2 linked regions of the Macaca fascicularis genome follow. The protein of the gene in region 1 interacts with the protein of each later gene in a pairwise test. Links are inferred from orthologs where the notes say so. Each region holds a gene or a part of one and is shown on either strand. Other genes may lie near its edges.

What was found. The genes of interacting proteins can lie anywhere in the genome.
Region 2: the proteins of POLR2L (region 1) and RPAP1 interact in binary tests that used the Homo sapiens proteins (3 or more experiments, as listed by UniProt). The link is inferred for Macaca fascicularis from reciprocal best matches to the Homo sapiens genes POLR2L and RPAP1.

What each region holds. Positions count from the first base shown.
Region 1 is NC_088388.1:742,499-746,504, forward strand, and holds POLR2L (DNA-directed RNA polymerases I, II, and III subunit RPABC5), read right to left. Parts: upstream 2,793-4,006; 5' UTR 2,772-2,792; coding exon 2,677-2,771; intron 778-2,676; coding exon 669-777; 3' UTR 501-668; downstream 1-500. UniProt on the Homo sapiens protein: DNA-dependent RNA polymerase catalyzes the transcription of DNA into RNA using the four ribonucleoside triphosphates as substrates.
Region 2 is NC_088381.1:18,078,873-18,081,174, forward strand, and holds the end of RPAP1 (RNA polymerase II-associated protein 1), read right to left. Parts: intron 1,473-2,302; coding exon 1,296-1,472; intron 1,180-1,295; coding exon 1,120-1,179; intron 1,014-1,119; coding exon 864-1,013; 3' UTR 501-863; downstream 1-500. UniProt on the Homo sapiens protein: Forms an interface between the RNA polymerase II enzyme and chaperone/scaffolding protein, suggesting that it is required to connect RNA polymerase II to regulators of protein complex formation.

The DNA.
Region 1 (4,006 bases):
TGGCGCAATCTCGGCTCACTGCAAGCTCCCCCTCCCGGGTTCAAGCAGTTCTCCTGCCTCAGCCTCCCGAGTAGCTGGGACTACAGGCGCCCGGCACCTCGCCTGGCTGTTTTTTTTGTTTTGTATGTTTAGTAGAGACGGGGTTTCACCGTGTTAGCCAGCATGGCCTCAATCTCCTGACCTCGTGATCCACCCGCCTTGGCCTCCCAAAGTGCTGGGATTATAGGGGTGAGCCACCGTGCCTGGCCTAAATCTGGCTCTTCAGATTCCAAGAGAGAGAGTACAGGAGCCTCTGCTCAGTCTGAAGAGCACCCAGAAGGAGGGAACCTCAGCCCTGAGATGGAAGGCTCTCCTGGCAGCACCTCCTGCAGGGGTACCTGTGGAACAGGCTGGCCCCAGGGCTAGGAGAATTCATGGCCCAGTCGGCTTCCCTGGGCTGCCGCGGTGAAAGCTGGGCCTAGTCCTGGCCCCTGACATCCTAGTGAGGGCTGGGACCTTGGTAGTTCTGAAAGACCTTTACTGGATTGTTCCTTCCAGAGTGGGGGATGGGACACACACACGCTGTGGCGAGGCATTGCGCCAGCTCCTGGATGCCTCAGCCTTGTGAACTTGGGGCAGGATGCTCATGGCCCATGGTCAGCATGGCAGGTAGGCGGATTCCAGCCTGGTCACTTCTCCAGGGGTGCATAATTGAGCAGCTTCTCGATCAGGTCCACGTGGGCCAGCAGCATCCGGCGGCAGCAGTAGCGCTTCAGGCCCAGGGCGTCCAGCGCATCCCTGTGTCAAGCGAGGGGAGGAACAGAGAGGCCAGCTGAGTTCTCCACGGTCTGCACAGGCCTGGAGCCCACATCCAGGCCGCCTCTCACTGCCTGCTGGCCTCACTCCCCTGCTACCGGCAAGGCGAACACATTCACCTGGATGAGAAGTAGAGACCTAGCGGTATGATCCTGGCTGGAGTAACCTGGCAATGCCCAGATCCCTGGGTGGAGCGTGAGGAGCCTTCTCTCCCACCTACTCTGGCTGTACATATGTGTGTCTAACATATGTAAGAAATATAAATGAAACGAAAACTAGAGGTAATTGGGGGAGCATAGAAAACCAAGGCCACCGAGGTCCTGATGCGCAGCTCCCCTCATCCCGCACCAGCCACAGCAGGGTAGCTCTCCAGGGGCCTGCCCTTAGCTGGTTCATCCCCCACCCCAGAGCAAGCCCTACTCTGCCACTGTGGCGTCTTTTCTCACCTCTGCTTCCTTCAATCAGGGAGAGACTGCTTCTCCAGGGAGCCACCTCTCCCATTTCCCAAGCCAATTAGAAGCTTTAATTTCCCTGGGACCAAGGTCCAGTCACCATCAATACTTCCAGAAAACTCCCACACTGATGGCTCCAATGTGCAGAGAGAGAAGCTTGGGAAAGGGGAGGCCACATGGGAGGCCCCTGCAGTTCATATCCCTGGGAAAGGGTCTGGACAGGCCACCAGCCACTCACTCTGGCAGCCCACTCGCTTTACTCATTCGTCCAGCAAGCTGCACTGAGAGCCTATGGCAGGCTGGCACACACGAGCCTGGGGTTTCACATGTGACCAGGACTCAGCAGGCAAGGGTCAGACTCCAGCAGGGGCACCAAGACTCAGGCACGGTGGTGACAGCAGCACTGAGGGACAAGCACAGGAGAAGGATGCCTCCCCCACAAAGCCCGATGATGAGGGTGGTCAGCAAGTCTGCCCTGCATTTCTTTTTCTGTGTGTGTGTGTGTGTGTGCGTGACACGGAGTTTCACTCTCTCATCCAGGCTGGAGTGCAGTGGCGTGATCTCGGCTCACTGAAATCTTCACCTGCCTCCCAGCCTCAAGCGATTCTCTCGCCTCAGCCTTCCAAGTAGCTGGGACCACAGGTGTGCACCACCAAGTCCGGGGAATTAAAAAGATAAGAGGGCCAGGGGCGGTGGCTCACACCTGTCATCTCAGCACTCCAGGAGGCCGAGGCAGGTGGATCACCTGAGGTCAGGAGTTCGAGACCAGCCTGGCCAACATGGCGAACTCCTATCTCTACTAAAAATACAAAAATTAGCCGGGCGTGGACACGCCTGTAGTCCCGGCGACTGGGGAGAATTCCTGGAGCCCAGGAAGCAGAGGTTGCACTGAGCCGAGATCGCGCCGCTGCACTCCAGCCTGGGCGACAGAGCGAGACTCCGTCCCCCCCAAAAAAAAAAAAGAAAAAATTTCTGGAGATCAGGGTCTCCCCAGGTTGTCCAGGCTGGTCTCGACCTCCTGGGCTCAAGCAAGCCTCTCGCCTCGGCCTCCCAAACTTCTGGGATTACAGGCGTGAGCCGCCGCGCCCGCCTGTCCTGCAGCGAGGTTTGCAGGACATGGGGTGGGTCTGGGAGCAGAGACGAGAGATTAGGACGGAGACCAAGGGCTTTACTGCGGGTGACAAGACGCCTGCCACCCGCCAGGCCACCTAGAATCCCCAGGACACCACTGGTTTGAAGCCCAACTCCGCTCTCTCCCCAGACTTCAGGGGACAATGTTCTCCCGAAAGCAGATCACAGAGCTGGGCCGGAGTGGCCGGGTATGAAGCTGCTCATGGAGCGCCGGCCCCAGGCAGCGCTGCGCCTCCCGCCCCGGCCCGCACCCCAGGGCGGACTCAGCCCCCAGCCCCGGCCCCAGCCCGCGCCTCACCCCTCAGTGTACTCGGCCTGCAGCAGCCCCAGGTAGGCCTCCCACTTGTTGCCGACGATCTTGCCGCAAGTGAAACACCGTACAGGAATGATCATGGCGGCGGCGCGTCCCAGACTGCCCGGCCCGGTCCGGCCGCACGGGAAGCACTCCCCCCAGGCCCCGCCCCGGGCGCGTCCACTATCGCGGGGGGACCGGCTCCGCTCGTTCTCCGCTGCCCCAGCCGTTCATACACTGGCCCCGGCGCAGCTGGCCGCAATTTCCGCCGCCATGGGGATTCCCCATGCGGCCCGGGGCTCCTGGGCCTGCACGGCCGCGGCAGCAACAGACGACACACCCCCGCCCACCATCTTGGTGCGTCCCGGAGCTACGGCGTCTGAGCAGGGCCGAAAGCCGCGGTGGCGGTTCGCGTTTCTCGTGTCCGCTTGACTGACAGCTGCGCGGAGGGAGCGGACGAAGCGAGCGGGAGGCGGCGGCGCAGGTAGAGCGCCCGGGGGGTCGTGGGGGCGTGCGGCCAGGGTCTCGCGGCCCGAGGTGTCCGACCGGGAGCGGCTGGAGCCGGACGCGAGCGGGGCGCGCGAGTTCGAGCCTAGAGCCGACACGCAGCAACAAGTGGGGTCCGGCGCGGGGGCTTGGGGAGAGGGCGGGCGCGGACCGGGGCGGGTCTTCCTGCTGCCCCTCTTGGCCCCGCCGGGTAGTGGGTCCCTCCGCCTCCGCCTCTACTCGCGGGGTGTCCGGGGCTCTCGGCGCCGAGTTCGGGGGTCCCATTCTGGACGCGGCCCAGCCCCTAGGAGCGCCGTCCTGGCCTCGGCCGCGCAGTTACGGCCCCCGCCGGCTGCTCCCCGCCCCGGCCTCCTGTCCGCGTTCTTTCCGCTCCTTCCCAGGAAGGGGGTCGGGGTGCGCCCTCCCCGGTCCCGGCTCTGCTGGGCTGCTGGCCGTCCCGACGCTGAGACGCGCCTCTGAGCACGGGGAGAGGGGGCCCGGGAGGGAGGTCGGGGAGGGCGTCGTGGAAGAGGTGCTCTTTGAATTGAACCTTGAAGACCGCGGCACAGGGGACCCCTGGGCAGACTCCCGGAGGCTGCACTGGCAGGACCCGCTGAAGGCCGCAGCTCTGCCTTGCCCTGGAGCTCAGGGCCTACGGAGGACGAGGGAGGGGGAGCCCGTGTCTCTCGGATGGAGTGCGGGGGGGCTGGCACCAGCACCCTCCTTGCTGTGCCCCTAGGGTGGGGGTGAGGAAATGGGGGGTCGGTGTGCAGTAGGAGGCAAAGAAGACTCCTTGGAGGTGCCAGGTAGGCTGTGGGGGGGTGGGTGGGCTGCAAAGTGGCACCCATGG
Region 2 (2,302 bases), on another chromosome or scaffold:
TGGGCAACATGGTGAAACCCTGTCTCTACAAATACAAAAAATTAGCCAGGCATGGTGGTACTTGCCTGTGGTCCCAGCCACTCAGGAGGCAGAGGTGGGAGAATGGCTTGAGCCCAGGAGGTCGAGGCTGCAGTGAGCTATGATCATGCCACTGCACTCCAGCCTGGGTGACAGAGTAAGACCCTGTCTCAGAAATAAATAGACAGACAGATAGACAGACAGACAGACATGGCATCTCACTATGTTGGCCAGGCTGGAATTGAATTCCTGGAATCAAGTGATCATCCTGCCTCAGCCTCCCAAGTAGTTGGGACTACAGGTGTTCACTACTGTGCCTGGCAGGTCCCATATTCTTGCTGTCTCCAGATGTGGACAAAGTTTTTACCTCCCACTTATGATTCTTCCCCATCTCTCTCACAGCAGTCCTGCTCCTCACCTGGGATAACCCACCCCCACATACTAACCCTGAACTAACATGGCTGAAATCAGTCCAAATCAGATTTCCGGGAGATAAAAAACATTTTAATGTACAACTATAGCATTCATATACCTTAGCCCGGGGCAGGGGTTGGGAGTTAGGTAAGAAGGGATGCATTTAGTTTGCCCTGTCCCCAAAGAGGGGGTAAATAGCTAAGCTGCTCTTCACTCCCAGCACAGACCTTCGAAGCTCCAGGTATCAGGATGTAATGGTAGGGCTCATTCTGCTCCAAAACAGCTCAAACCACCTGCTCCCAGGAAGGCAAGCTTTCTGCTCCTTGGTCTTCTGCCTGCCATTAGGACACAATGTCCTTTGTCTGGCCAGGCATCTGTTGAAAGGCTGGATACAGGACAATGTACCCATCTTTCCATCTATAGCAACTATCCTAGGTCTCTGATACCCCATTTGGGAGCACCGTTGAAGTCAGTCTCTGGAGGTAGTGCTGACGCAGAGGGGGCAACTGAGAATAGAGCTCAAAGCCCTCTGGGAGTGTGGAATTGGGAAGCTTATAGTGGAGGAGGTGCTGCCGGAGACCCTGCAGAGAGGAAAGAAACCTTATGAAGTAGGTAATGAGATCCTGTTGTGGTCTCTGTCCCCCAAGATCCTCTAATATCCCACCCTCCTAATGGCCCTGACCCTACCTCATCTGCCAGCAGCCACGTTTTCTGCAGCATACTCCTGCGGGCAGCTTTTACCTCATCCTAGAAGCAGAACAGGGAGAGGTGGCACTGAGCCGAGGGCTGGTACCAAGCACTTCTCCCCCAGCTGGCCCAGAGGCAGCTCTCTTCCTTCCTCTGAAGATGGAGATGTAACTTACTGAGCTCTGTGGGTCCTGAGAGAAGATGAAGCTATTGACATGAGCTACAGCCACAGCATAGAGCACGGGGCACCAATGTGGACGGAGCGCACCAGTAACCAGGGTCCGGAAGTAGAGCTGAAGGAGGGCCAGGTTGTCTTCGGGAGGCACTGTGTAACACTCCAGGGACACAGGCAACTGTGACAGGCGAAAGGATGTGTTGAGGGGGAGGGTAGTAATATATATACATCCACAAGGTGCATGGATAATAATCACATGAAACCAAATCATGAGGGCAGAGATCAGGTCCTAGACAGACATCTGTCCTTCTTCTAGCACAAGGATCAGGGTTAAAGACTACAGAGCAGATGTCGGGGAAAACTGGGAACTGAGAAGCAGCCATTAAAAAGAATGAAATTGGCCATGTGTGGTGGGCCATGCCTGCAATCCCAGCACTTTGGGAGGCTGAGGCAGGCCGATCACATGAAGTTAGGAGTTCAAGACCAGCCTGGCCAACGTGGTGAAATGCCATCTCTACTGAAAATCCAAAAGTTAGCTGGGCATGATGGCGGATGCTTGTAGTCCCAGCTACTTCGGAGGCTGAGGCAGGGGAATCACTTGAACCCGGGGGGTGTAGGTTGCAGTGAGCCGAGATCATGCCACTGCACACCAGCCTGGGCGACAGCGCGAGACTCTGTCTCAAAAAAAAAAAAAAATTAGCCAGGCATGGTGCTGTGTGCTTGTAATCCCAGCTACTCAGGAGGTTGAGGCAGGAGAATCGCTTGAACTTGGGAGCTGGAGGTTGCAGTGAGCCATTTTACTCCAGCCTGAGCAACACAGTGAGACTGTCTAAAAAAAAAAAAAAAAAAAAAAGAAAAACAAAATCTTAAAAACAAAACATAGTAACTTTTTTTTTTCTTTTAAATAGAATCTCCTACTATTTCCAAGTCTGGAATGCAGTGGTGTGATCATAGCTCACTGGCAGCCTCAGCCTCCTGAGTTCAAGTGATCCTCCTGTCTCAGGCTCC